2 linked regions of the Danio rerio genome follow. The protein of the gene in region 1 interacts with the protein of each later gene in a pairwise test. Links are inferred from orthologs where the notes say so. Each region holds a gene or a part of one and is shown in the gene's direction. Other genes may lie near its edges. The genes, in order: pex5 and acot8.

Region 1 (7,653 bases):
CGTCAGTGTTGTTTTTATAATGTGCTGCAGTGAAGGTTTTGTTTTAATTTTCCCTTTATGAGAGCACTGCTGGACTCACGTGTGGATTACAGTGCACGCGACGTGCCATAGAAATACATGTCTAAGGAACATTGTTTACCCGAGAGCTTTTCTCATGTGGAAATGGTGAAATCTGGAATTGCCGCTTGTCTCCTTTTAATAAAGACGCAGAACCAGTTGGTGTTGATTGTCCTGTCTCTACATATTTGGTAAGTGAGCGACTAGTGGTCCTTGTTTGTTTACTCAGAGGTGAAGTTAGTTCGTATCGTCAGCAGTACTCTTTCAGTGTTTAAAGACAGACCTTAGTCATATGATTTCTAAGTTAATAAAGTTTACCGTATGTTAATATCACTACAATATTATGGACTGAAAAATCTGCTGTAAATGCTGCTCTCCCGAGTGTAAACGTGCAAGCACCACAACCAAGGTTACCGTCATGGAGGATTTTTGCTGCATTTTGTGACAGGAATAACACACACGGCTTTCTGACGCTACCTACAGAGTGCACCTAAGTTTCAGAGAGGGGTTTTTTTCTCTTATTCGTCATGCTGTAACAAACATTGCATGAAACATACACGCTTCCAGCAATTCCTCATTTGTCATGAGGGGCATGAATGAAATTCCTGAATGAAAGAGCCAAACTGCAGTTAAAGTCCACTATTTAATAATTTGGCAAATAATTTGATTACTGATAAACATAGTCACTGTCTTTCTACTCTGCGTTTGTGTGTTTGTTTTGCCTGTGTGAAAATCAGCACGTGCCCAAACCGACACTCCCATTTTTGTGCAAATTTTTACGGACCATGCCTTTTTCTCTCCTCCGACACTCCCCTAAACAGAGCTGGACACGCCCACTTTCCTGACTTTTTCCAAAGTAGAGGTGTAAAAAACCCTGCCGAAACAGAAGGGTTTCATGGCCCTTTAAGCACTTTTTTGTTTAATTAGCTTGTCGAATGGTCATCAGAACCAAACTTTTTGATGTACCAAAACATTTCCTTACAAATTTGTAAAAAAAAAAACATAACAAAAACAATTGTGTTAGCGAGATGTATTTAATAAAAAACTGTAACTTTTTGTTATTTATTAACCAAATAACATTCTGGCCACTACATTCAATTTTACTCAGTTTGAATAAACAAATAAATAAAGCTTAACATTTTTTTCTACATTTTTCTTTTGTAAAAAAGTTCAATTGAAAATTAATGGATAGCAATAGTCTGATTATTATTAAAATTAACCCTAACTTTAATATTGACCACCTTTGATGCTTTACACCTTTTTATTGATAATTTTTTGTTTCACCAATAAGGTCCAAGATTTGGAATAAAAGTTACTTGTAAAATGTTTTCTGTATTTAACAACAGTACAGTCAGTCAGTAGTGTAAGATGACTTAACTTTCTTCAGATTGTGGCACAGCTAGATGTTGGACTCATGAAAAACAATTGTTTGCATTGATCAAAACTGATAAGCTGAAGTGACGACAGCCAGCAGAGGATTCTGTTTGGTCTTAAAGCCTTTTTCGATGGGTTATTTTCAATATTTGTGATGGAAAAGCAGTCAAAATATGTCAAATGAGCTCATGTATGGGACAAATTCTGCACCTTTGTCAGTGGAGGGTGGGTCTTTCGAACCACCCAAACCCCCCCGGCTATGGGCCTGATGTGTGTGTGAATGAGTGTGTATGGATGTTTCCCAGTATTGGGTTGCAGCTAAAAGGGCATTTGTTGTGTAAAACATATGCTGGATAAGTTGGCGGTTCATTCCGCTGTGGCGACCTTTGATAAAGGCACTAAGCCGAAAGAAAATGAATGCATGAATAAAACATATAAGATAATTCTGCATAATTGAAGCAAATATACTGAGGTTTGTCTGGGTTATGGCTGGAAGGGGATCCGCTGCATAAAACATATGGCAGAATAGTTGGTGGTTCATTACGCTGTGGTGACCCCTGATAAAAAAAGGGACTAAGCCCAAGAAAAATAAATTAATGAATACTGTGGTTTAAGTCTTAAAGTGCTCTGAAATTATTTATAATTTATATTAAAAAAAAAAAAAAACATTGGAACTAAATGCTATTATTATATGGTAAAAAACATCAAAATTAGAGTCCTCGAAGAGTATGATGTGTTTAATAAATTAAAAACAAGACATCTTTGTTGTTTTCACATACAGTAAATTAGCTGCAGTCACAAACTTTAAGAATAAACATCACATAATATCATTGTCTAACATCAACCAGGAGGTTACCTTTACTTTAGCAGAGCGACGTCAGCATAAATAACAAACAAATCAATAGATCAGCTAATATTAGATATTATATTTAGTGTTTGTCTGCCATCCTTATACAGACATTTGAACCATAATATATTTAAACTATATCTAAGTCATTTATTTTCTCACTTTTTGGTGTTTTGTTTACACACTAATAAAGTTTAAGTGCCCTACACTGAAAAAAAAATTAAAATAATTCCTTGGATTTACAAAATTTTTTAAGTTAAGTGGTTGTAAACAATTTATTTGGTTCACATTTAAACAAACAAGTTAAGTTGACCATTAATAAATAAAATTTGATTTTTTTAAATTCACCACATATAAATTGTTTGCACATCTTTTTTTCAGGGTAGATTGACCTGAGTGTTTTTCTACAACGTTGTAGCCGTTTATTGATAAACTAATTCAAATAAACAAGCATATTATTAAAATAATACACAACTTTATCTAAAAAAACAAGTAATGCACAAAAAGGAATTCATTTAAAATACTGTACAAAACCATTTAAAAGCACATTTCCTGGATGATAACAAAAGGATACCATCCTGTCATTAAGACATGCGCTGTCACTTTAGGAATTTTACGTAACTTCAGCGTAAACCTGCCTACATCCGTCGTGACGCTTGGCGTAGCTCAAAGCGCCTGCCGTCGCTCTTTACGCAAATGGCGTTTGTGAATAGCCGGAGCGTAGCGTGTAGGTTCGTGTGGCTGGTTCGCTCCTGTTTCACTGGGCCACACGGGGAAGGTAAATAAAGACAGGACGGTCACCAGCGCAGCATTTTTAGCCGTCAGACCCCGACAACTAGAGGACCGTCCACCGCTGCCGTGTCTTTAGGGCCTGCTTTCCTCGGTCGGGTTTGGTCTTTGTTTTAACCGCATTACTCACGGGATAAAAGGCGAAAGAGAAGAAAAAGAGGTGACAACGTCGCCTGTGCAGGTGAGTGGAGTTTATTTAGCTTGTAAGCTAACTGTCTGCAGTTGAGCTATCAGCTTTATCCTTAACCATTCAATACTAACGCTACGCAAACACGACTGCGAATAGTTGTGGATAACGTTGACTGCCGTTAGAGGAGACTCATCACACTCACTAATGTTTCTGTGCTGAAGCAAAACTGACAGCAGATCAGTGCAAAAGTGTCTAGTCTGACTGTATCCACTGTATGTTATCAATGACCCGATGACCATTCAACCGGTGCCCGTTCATAACCCAAACTCTCTTGCTAGATTCACTAATTAAATTTTGTCCATCAATTCTGGCCAGCAGGTTGTTTTGGGATTATTGCATAAGGACAGTAAGTTGGTCGTTCACATGCAGTCTTGGTTAATTGTTAATAGCTGTTTTCAGGAACAATGAAATCTGTGTAATCCTTCTAGTCTGGATAAGCTGATGGAGCATATGTTTATGCCAGTGGAAAGGTGGCTCAGTCCGCTGGATTTATCTCAAGCTGATGATTCATTGTGTCTGTTTTATTTCATGCCAGGTAAGGTGACATAGGACTTAAAGGCAGATATTCATACAAACAAATCACCTGCTGAGATTAAACTGTTTACAGTAACTGTTATGAATTGTTATAGATTTTCTGCAACCTTTGGGTTACAGGTTAGTGGTTTTCATCTGTAGAGGACCAGGACCCATAGATGCACTCTGCATTTCTCTAGAACAGCCTGTAAAAATGATGTAAAATTGTTTATAAAGTGTTTGTTATACTTAATAACAATAAAAAAACTTTACTGCAATATATATTACCTCTTGTGTGGTATTAGTATTCTGTATAATCTGTTTGTCTCAAGGGTAAGAAGGGATACACCTTCACTAAACCTCCAAAACGAAACAACTAATTTATTTTCGGTCTGCACATCTGTTTTGCATGAAGAAGCAACCTCATGATCCATCAAAAACTCTGAATATCTCGGTTTTCCATCGTCAGTGTTTTATTTAACAGACTATTTAAATCGTTGTATAATATTCAAGTAAAGGTTTATATTTTCTAAGGTTTGTGTGTGTGTGTGTGTGTGTGTGTGTGTGTGTGTGTGTGTCTGTGTCTGTGTCTGTGTGTGTGTGTGTTATAGCTAGCTGATCAAATTTGACCCCATAATCCTTACTTTGTATCCTATAGTGTAACAAAAATAATAGAAAATGGTTACTTTTTCAAATGTTGGGATCATTTTATATATATATATATATATATATATATATATATATATATATATATATATATATATATATATATATAAATAATGATCCCAACATTTGATCCCAACATATATATAAACATTAAAAAAAAAAACATTTATTTTTTTCTTGTGTTAAATTGGTCACGGGTCTTTTTTTACCTCATGTCAACACAAAGCCATTGTTTTACATTAGGCACTGTAATGTGGTTATCCTTCAGGCTAGAAAACTGTCATTCACTTAGTAAATTTGTAAAAGGAGAAAAAATATTGAGCTGTTAAAATAATTATTTATTAATGTTAATAAATTGGGATTTGGACTTTAGACATAAAATAGTCTGCTTAATACTCCTTGGTTATCATCTTTTCTAAACACCTTGTTTAACTCCAGGCCAAAGGATGATTTACACTGCAACTTGAGCAACACGTTATTTTACACTGATAGTGAAGTCAAATAGTGATGCAAATGCAAGAGTTGCAGTAAATATAGGAGACAGTTTCATGAAAAGTCCACTCAGGATAGAGAGAGTTGCAGTCAGCAGTATATAATATGAGGATGGTAGAGCATTTATTTCAACTGGTTGTATGCTGTGTTTTTGTAATAAAATGAAGAAGAACATTGACCCAGTTTAAAGATTTAGGCTGCTCCTTCATATTCAGGACTATTTGTTAACCCTGGGTAAATTAAGTGCAGTGTGAAACATGAAAATATTCCAGAATGCCATTATCCCAATGGTTTGGGATTGGTAAAAAGATTTAAAAAGGTCCCAGACTACTGTTCGAAACTTTTAATGTCACATTTTTAACTACTTCCATACCACTCAGTGATGATGTTTCATTTACTTATAGATATCTTAAGGTGCTAGTTTGATCCAGCCTGAGGGTGTGTTGCCATGGCGATGCGGGAGTTAGTGGAGGCGGAATGTGGGGGAGCCAATCCCCTCATGAAACTGACTGGTCACATGACCCAAGAGGGCGGGGCTTGGAGACATCGATCAACGCCCACTGTAAGTTACAAAACCTTATTTTTGTAATCATGACTACATGTTAAGGGCTGAGACCAAACGATGTGCTGATATATTTGGTGACATTGGTTATGTAAATGGATCAGAGATAAAAAGGTGTTTTCAAGCATCAAAAGCTTAAGCTCATTCATTGGAATGAGAATCATTTTAGCCTGATTTATGCAAGATAGTAGTTTATATAACAAAATAAGCTTGTCAGGCATATTTAAGCATCACAGTGCAGCTCCAAAATGTTAGTCAGATCTCCTTTTAAGTCTTTATGCTTTGCCACTATACCTATTTGTTAGCAGTTTTGAATCATTTTAAAGAACATTAAGTATGATCACTCTTATTCTTTTTTTTTAATGTATTTTTTAAAGTACAGGTGTAAATTATTTTTTTTTATTTTGCATAAATATATCTGTTTTGTTGATTGATGGAATATTATTTCACTTAGGTTGACATTTTATTTTTGTTAAAGTTATATGAAATTCTGAAGTAAACACTTAGGGAAAATAGAATCACCAACATATCTTTAACACAAAATATTGTATGAAGTGAATCCATTTGTAAATTAAGGAAATGATTACCATTTTGAAAACAGACATAATCAGGGTGTACATCTGAGATGTAGAATCAGCTACTCAAGGCGTACACACTCATATTTATTGAAAGGGGAACACCTGTGACTTGTGTAAGGATATATGGTAACACTTTATAATAACTACACACTATGAATCATCTATTAAGCATTAGCAAATAGTTAATTCTTTATATGTTAAGTATTAACTCTAAATAGACGTTAGTAAGCAGTTTATAAATTCAACTACAAATGCTGTATTCTTGACTTATAAGCGCATTTAAAATGTGCTCAATGATTGTGTTTTCATACTTAATTACATTTTAATTGTTCATTCATTCATTCATTCATTTATTCATTTTCTCTTCGGCTTAGTCCCTTTATTAATCCGGGGTCGCCACAGCGGAATGAACCGCCAACTTATCCAGCAGGTTTTTACGCAGCGGATACCCTTTCAGGGAAACATCCACACACAATCATTAACACACACTAATACACTATGGACAAATTAGCCTACCCAATTCACCTGTACCGCATGTCTTTGGACTGTGGGGGAAACCGGAGCACCCGGAGGAAACCCATGCGAACGCAGGGAGAACATGCAAACTCCACACAGAAACGCCAACTGACCCGAACCAGCGACCCAGTGACCTTCTTGCTGTGAGACACCAGCACTACATACTGTGCCACTGCGTCGCCCATTTTAATCGTTTATTACTAAATTTAGTATTGCATTATTTACAAATTGTGATGCAATTTGATATATGTATATATATATATATATATATATATATATATATATATATATATATATATATATATATATATATATATATATATATATTTGAAATAAATGCAAAACCGAGAAAACCGCAATTCACAAGCGCGTATTGAACCGTGGAGGTCGTACCGTAAGGTTCAATATTTTATTGAGAACTGTGGCATGCCTAATATATATATATATATATATATATATATATATATATATATATATATATATATATATATATATATATATATATATACAGTTGAAGTGAGAATTATTAGACCCCCTGAATATTTAGACCGCATGTTTATTTTTTTCCCATTTTCTGTTTGACAGAGGGCAGATTTTTGCAACACATTTTTAAGCATAATAGTTTTAATAACTCATCTCTAATAACTGATTTATTTTATCTTTGCCATGATGACAGTAAATAATATTTTACTGGATATTTTTTTGTATTTAAAAAATGATTCATAGTGTGTAGTTATTATAAAGTGTTACTGGAAATATTTTAAGGGCAATGTTTAAAAAGTTATTGTTGTATATTTAGTATAGGTCTTGTCATGAATATAGCCAATGTTGCTGATATGGCAATGAAACATAAATAAAGCATCTTTGACACAAATATATTAAAATGCAGGGAATTCATAAAAAGAGAGACTTAATTTTTGAGAATTTCTCAAAAATCTCAAATCCCATAACCAAAAGTTTGGACTTACATTTGTTTTGTTATTTTTACATATACATTTTATTCACATTCAACAACATTCTCTCAAATGCAAGGTCTGTAGACCTGCTGTTTAAATAAACCTTTATTAAT
Region 2 (7,475 bases), on another chromosome or scaffold:
GCACGACGCAGTCCTCTGGTCCATCTGATGCGGCCATGGAGGAGGAAACCCGCGGTGATGGAGAGAAATGCCGAGCTGCGCGCGTCAATGACTGAGAGCAGATTCAGTTTGACAGAAACAGCAGCGCTGAGGAGGAGAGCCCGAGTGCGCATGCGCGAGTTGAAGACGCGGAGACAGCTGAGGATATGACAGTCAATCCCTTTAGATTTATTCATATTTGGTATATTTTTTTCAATTCTTGTTATTTATTTGCCGTTGTTATTATTTTTACAATAATAATAATAATTAATATTATTATTTATTTATTTTATTAATCAATTTATTCATTCGTTTATTATTATAATTATTATTGGTGTTGTTGTTGTTGTTGTATTTTTTAATTAATTTTTATTAATTAATTATTATTTCATTTATTATCGTTGTAATTATTATTATTATTGTTATTATTATTGCTATTATTTATAATTTATTTTTATTAATTAATTAATTACTTTGTTTATTGTTTGTATAATTTGTTTGTTATTATTATTATCATTATTATTACTATTATTATTGTCATTATTATTATTAATATTGTTTTTATTATAATTATTTTATTTATTTGTTTGCTATTTTGTTATTTTATTTTTTAATATTATTATTATTATAATTATTATTATTATTATTATTATTGTCATTATTTATTTATTTGTTATCATTATTTATTTTCATTTTTTATTCATTTTTGTTATTTTATTGTTGTTATTATTATTATTAGTATATTTTTTCATTTATTTATTTATTTATTTATGTTATTATTAATATTATTATTATTATTATTATTATTTCTAGCCTATTTTTGTTGTTTTTATTATTATTATTATTTCTAGCATATTAATATTAGTTTTATTGTTATTAATATTATTATTATTAGCCTGCTAATATTATTATTATGAAACTTTTATAAAAATATTGATCCTATGCATTTATCCATTTAAATTATGCTTTAGAAATGTCAATATTTTGTCATTGTTTGTGGTTTTATACAAGGTCGATGTGCATTGATAATTGTCATATGTCATATAATCGTCACCTAAAAATGCTTCTCTTCACTTCACTTCGTTCACTCACTTTAGTTTTATAATAATGATAATTATTATTATAAGTATTATTATTTAATATTATTGTTCTTATTATTGATAATTATAAATATTATTATTATTCTTATTGTTACTATTATTTAAGATTATTATTAATAATAATAATAATAATTATTATTAGTATTTATGAAGATGATGATGATGATGATGATGATGACGATGATGATGAAGATGATGATGATGATGATGATGATGATGATGATGATGATGATGATGATGATGAAGATGATGATGATGATGATGTTGATGATGATGATGATGATGATGGTGATTCTACTTATTATTATTATTATTAAAGATTGTAACTGGTATTTTATATTGTGCATTGTTGGTATTTAAACAATGCACAATATTTTAATGTTGTTGTTTTTTTTACCTTTTATGGTCTTATTTGTGCTAGATGTGTGTTGATGTTAATTATATCAGTGCAATTATTTATTATTTAACAGGCATTCAGCAGCGTTAATTACAGTGGTTTCTCTGTGAACGTACAGGTACAGAATGCTTGGCCTGGGATTCCCTCTAGCGGGCTCTTTGTGGTAGTGCAGCTGCACATTTTACCAAACATTGAAATACAACACTGATTCTGACAAGTAGTCTATATTCTGATATTAAACAAATATTATAGAGTTATTATCTATTTTAAGTCTGCTAATTTCTGCTCAAAAACTTAGCTTTTATTGCGTAAAACAAAACAAACAAACAACAACAAAAAACAATATAATGTAAAATATTTCACAATTAAAACAACTATGTTTGTCTCTGTGTATGTATAGCAGTCTAAATTGTAAATTAATCCAATGATTGGAATAATTTTTTTAGCATCATTACTTCAAATATGATCCTCCAAAAACCTATATGCAAAACTGATAATCCAAATAAAATCATATTAATTTAATTGTTAAAATGGTTTTGCTGCTTATTGTTGTTTGGTGGAAACCATAATGTTGCATTTAAAAAAAAGTGGAGTAATTTATAGTAGTAGTTGTAGTTGTTGTTTTAAGGATTTAATTTTATTCAGCAAGAATGCATTGAGATAAAAAAGCAGGGGGTAAAAATACTCAAAGATTATTCTCAAGTGCAGATATACTGAATGCAAATTTAGTGTCTGGCCAAAAACATACTCGAGCAAAAGTAAACCAGTCCAGCTTTACATTACACTTAATGAAATAAAAGTAACATTACTCTCTTCAGATAACACTGTACACATGCAATAAATGGGTTATTTAGTTGCATTCAGAGAGCAAAATGTGATGGTAAGAATATTGTATAGCTATTTTTCATTTATTTCTATTTAAAAACAATAGCATATAACATTTTACAGACATTTAAAGTAGATGCCAAGGGGAGGTAAGTATAAACAAAATATAAACAAAGTGTATAAATATAAACGTTAATTAAATACATTATAATTATACACATTTTTTAAGTTTTTAAGACTTTCTTGTTTAAAAGTCTCTCATACTGGTAATATGTAAGCATAATTCAATCAACAAAACCATACAATTAGGTTTCCTGTTAGTGAATTTGCTATTATGAATGTAAAATTTGGTAAACAGAACAATCAAATTAATTAAATAAATCTAATTGTCTTGGTTAGGATAGATAGTAAAGCAAAAGAGTACGTTTTCCCATAACACAACAACGATAAAGCTATTTTCCAGCTGCCTGCTCACCAGTAGAGGTCCTCAAGTGCGCTGAGTCCTAAAGTTCGAATCAGTGAATCAAGATTCCATTGATTTGATGACTCAAAACGATTATTTATCCCATAATGACTCTAATACTTATCATTTATATACATCAATTTAACAACAACTTACAATATTTACCAACGGATATTGTATTACAACAAATAAATCATGTAACAGTCCACCAATGGAGTACTTCCGCGAACATCATAAATGAATCATTGGGAATCGATTCGAAAGATTCGCCTTTAGCACAGTACAGTAAACATGGCTGAACGCGGTAGTGAATCTCCGGTTGGTAATGAAGTAAACCGTGTGTCTAAATCAAGTGAACCTGACCTCAGAAGTGTCCTGGTTACAAGTGTGTTAAATTTAGAGAAGCTCGACACCGACCTGTACAGGTAAACAAATTATTTTTTTATAATACGTACACGTGTTTGCTAGATTTGCTGTCTATATAACCATTTTGTATTGAGTCAGTAATATATTTTTTGCATGTACATTATATTAAACTAACTAAAAGCGTGTGTTTTGTCTGTAGAGGGACACACCACTGGGTCCCCCGCACTAAGCGGCTCTTCGGGGGCCAGATTGTGGGACAGGCTCTCGTAGCTGCAGCCAACTCAGTTGCTGAACACCTCTATGCTCATTCACTGCACTGCTACTTTGTCAGAGCAGGTGATGTTGTGTTTATTTCTAAGACACCTAAGGCATTTTGAGGTAAAGTTGCTTTTATAAGGTGAAACAATGGCGCAGTAGGTTGTGCTGTCCCCTCACAGCAAAAAGGTCGCTGGTTCGAGCCTCGGCTGGGACAGTTGGTGTTTCTGTGTGGAGTTTGCATGTTCTCCCTGCATTCGCGTGGGTTTCCTCCGGGTTCTCCGGTTTCCCCAGTCCAAAGACAGGTACATGTGAATTGGGCCGGCAGTGTTCTTGCTGTGGGGCTAAAGGCTGATTTATACTTCTGCGTCAAGCGCACTCGTATGCTATGGCGCAGCCTACATGTTGACGCATAGCCCTACGCCGTGGCCGTTGGCGTGGCTGACGCGCACCTCTAAAAAAATTTAACTACATGGCGCAAGCTCTGTTATTAGTCGGCATGGTAGCGCTGACGAGTCATGGTGGGACTGAGAGCCGCGCGAGCCAGATGGAGCGATTACTTACAAGTGTGAAGTCCCGTGAGGGAGCTCCGGATGGAAAGTTTTGTTTTGTGTTTACCTCATGATTAAAGTTGTTGCACATCCCCTCGTTCCTGCCTCAAAATGAGCGAGTTTGAGCCACTTGGACATTAAGGTAGCATTCAGAAAAAACAAAACACCAGTGAAGAAACTCGACATAACATAATCACCTCACTGCCATCTAGCGTTTCAGAAGTGTTCTTGCAGAACAACAGAAAAAGCGCGCGGAAGTGTAACGCCCCATTCACACGGGGCTTCAGCGTCAACGCTTGACTGAAGGCGTGTCTGAAGTTGGGGATGAAACGATCGTAATAGAAGCGTCAGCCAATGAAATTCAGTCAAAAATAGGCCACTGGCTGCGTCCGAAACCGCATACTTCCATACTATATAGTACGCTAAAATCAGTATGCGAGCCGAGTAGTATGTCCGAATTCATAGAATTCGAAAAACAGTATGCGAGAAGTACCCGGATGACTTACTACTTCCGGCGAGATTCTAGAGTGCTCATCCCATGCATGCTGCGCTATCCCATGATGCCCCGCGAGCGAATACCTGAATGGGAGTAAGCGACGCAATTGACGCAGGCAGGTCACGTGACCGTGACAAAATGGCGGATGTAGTGCGTCCGAATTCCATTCATACTTTTCACGTTCATACTGTATACAACGTACTTTTCTAACGGCCGAGCAGTACGTTTAAATTCAAATGCAGCACCTACTGAGTAGTAGGCGGTTTCGGACGCAGCCACTGTCTAGCTGGTGTATTTGCATACAGCGATCTGATTGGCTGACGCTTCCGTCGGCGCTTGAAAAGTTGAGCTAGTCCCAACTTCTGCAGCGAGCAACGCCTCTTGAGCGGCGCTGACGGATCCACAAAAGACTGTCGTTATTTATAGTAACTTCCCTGCAGAAAAATCCAGCTTAAACCAGCCTAGGCTGGTTGGCTGGTTTTAGCTGGTTGACCAGCCTGGTTTTAGAGGGGTTTTGGCCATTTCCAGGCTGGTTTCCAGCCATTTCCAGCCTGGTCTTAGCTGGTCAGGCTGGAAACTGACCAGCTAAATCCAGCTAAAACCAGCTTGACCAGCCTGGTTTAAGCTGGACATAGCTGGTTTTGGCTGGACTCCCAGCCTGGCTAGGCTGGTCAAGCTGGTTTTAGCTGGTCATCTCCCAGCCTGACCAGCTAAGACCAGGCTGGAAATGGCTGGAAACCAGCCTGGAAGTGGCCAAAAACCCTCTAAAACCAGCCTGGTCAACCAGCTAAAACCAGCCAACCAGCCTAGGCTGGTTTAAGCTGGTTTTTTCAGTAGGGTTATAAATCATATGATTGGAAGATCATGATTAGCTAATGCGAGACCGGCTGTGATAAATCCTAAGCACATGATCCTCTCAAAATTAGTTTATAAATAAACTTCCTTTAGGTTACTAGGCAGGTTAGGGTAATTAGGCAAGTTATTGTATAACAGTGGTTTGTTCTGGAGACAATCCAAAACTAATATTGCTTAAGGGGTTAATAATATTGACCTTAAAAAGGCTTTAAAACAGTTAAAAACTGCTTTTATTCTAGCCCAAATAAAACAAATAAGCCTTTCACCAGAAGAACAAACATTATAAGAAATACTGTGAGAAATTCCTGAATCTGCTCAACATCATTTGAGGAAATATTTTTAAAAATTCACACAAGAGCGAATAATTTTGACTTCACCTGTATATTTTCCAGGGGACCCGAAGGTGCCGGTGCTGTACCAGGTGGAGAGGACGCGCGACGGCCGCAGTTTCTGTGTGCGATCTGTGAAGGCCATCCAGCACGGTCAGCCCATTCTCATCCTCCAGGCATCGTTTCACATGCAGCAGCCCAGTCCTCTGGAGCACCAGTTCAGCATGCCCAGCGTCCCTCCGCCAGACACTCTGCTGACCGTGGAGGAGCTCATACAGCGCTTCCTCAGGTCACCCTCAGGATTAAAAACTGACTGATTATTAAACCACTGCATGTCACACTCATCCTTGTGTTTGGTTTGTTTTACAGTAAACCGGATCTGGCAGACAACACTCGGCAGGGTCTGAATAAAATACGAGCTGATGAAGTTCCGATAGAGATCAAGCCAGTCAATCCACCGGATTTCTTCAGACGTGTTGCTATGGAGGCAAAAACACTGATCTGGGTGCGAGCCAGAGGATATATAGGTAAAACATGCACCATTTTATTCATTCATTTTCCTTCAGCTTAGTCTCTATTTCATAGGTCGCCACAGCGGAATGAACCGCCAACTTATGCAACATATGTTTCAAGCAGCGGATGCCCTCCCAGTACTAGGAAACACCCATACACACTCATTCACACACACACACTCATACACTACTGCCAATTTACTTCATCAATCTCCCTATAGCACATGTGTTTGGACGGTTGGGGAAACCGGAGCACCCGGAGGAAACCCACGCCAACTCGGGGAGAACATGCAAACTCCACACAGAAATGCCAACTGACCCAGTCGAGGTTCGAACCAGCGACCTTCTTGCTTTTGTTGTAGGACCTGGCGATATGAAACTGCACCGCTGTGTGGCAGCGTATGTGTCCGACTACGCTTTCCTGGGGACGGCGCTGTTACCGTACCCAAACTACAGGTCGCAGTTCTCAGCCTCTCTGGATCACGCCATGTGGTTTCACAGCACGTTCAGAGCAGACGAGTGGATGCTGTACGAGTGTGAAAGCCCCTGGTCAGGTCAGCAGACGCTTCTCTGCATTATTGCTCATTTCTGGACTAGGCATGAGTTGATGTAAGATTCTAACGGTAGGATAAACCTGCATAAATATATGACAGTATTGCGATTACTGCTTTAAAATATATTCTTTTTAAATGTCTGGGTAAACAACAACAACAGTTTTTTTTCCCAAAATATGCAATAAAAAAAAGATCTGTTACCAAAAATCATTCCATTTGCTGAAACACAAAGGACGTTGTGGCCAAATTAAGACTCAAAATCACCACAGAGTGGATAAAAACAACAAACAGCACACAAGGGTTAATCTGCAAGTGTCTGTATTTGTTTTCAGGAGGCAGCAGAGGCTTCGTCCAGGGCCGCTTGTGGAGACAGGATGGAGTTCTGGCAGCTTCCTGCGCACAAGAGGGAGTGATACGAGTCAAGGAGGTGTCGCAGAGTAAATTATAGAGGAATACTAATATACATCTACTATACCCTGAGATGCCTTACAATAGGTGCCAGACTGACTAGTTAATGCTAATTAATGTATACATTACTAATATGAACAAACAATGAACAATATGCAATATTTATCACAGTGTTTGTTAACCTTTGATCATGAAAATACAGCTATTTATTATTAGTTCCTGTTAGCTCTTAATGCATTAACTAATGTTAAGAAGCACAGCTGTGGATCCTAATAATGCATTAGTAGATGTTGAACTGTGATTAATAAATGCTGTATGGGTATTGTTCATTCTTAGTTCATGTTGG

What was found.
Region 2: the proteins of pex5 (region 1) and acot8 interact in binary tests that used the Homo sapiens proteins (3 or more experiments, as listed by UniProt). The link is inferred for Danio rerio from reciprocal best matches to the Homo sapiens genes PEX5 and ACOT8.

What each region holds. Positions count from the first base shown.
Region 1 is NC_133191.1:12,442,759-12,450,411, reverse strand, and holds the start of pex5 (peroxisomal biogenesis factor 5), read left to right. Parts: upstream 1-2,993; 5' UTR 2,994-3,792; intron 3,793-5,332; 5' UTR 5,333-5,376; coding exon 5,377-5,490; intron 5,491-7,653.
Region 2 is NC_133186.1:1,591,513-1,598,987, forward strand, and holds the start of acot8 (acyl-coenzyme A thioesterase 8), read left to right. Parts: upstream 1-3,085; 5' UTR 3,086-3,094; coding exon 3,095-3,228; intron 3,229-3,368; coding exon 3,369-3,505; exon of another isoform or gene 3,506-4,896; intron 4,897-5,308; exon of another isoform or gene 5,309-5,718; coding exon 5,719-5,944; intron 5,945-6,024; coding exon 6,025-6,182; intron 6,183-6,529; coding exon 6,530-6,721; intron 6,722-7,053; coding exon 7,054-7,169; 3' UTR 7,170-7,475. Other genes in the region: phactr3b (phosphatase and actin regulator 3b), read right to left, coding at 1-37. UniProt on the Homo sapiens protein: Catalyzes the hydrolysis of acyl-CoAs into free fatty acids and coenzyme A (CoASH), regulating their respective intracellular levels. Displays no strong substrate specificity with respect to the carboxylic acid moiety of Acyl-CoAs.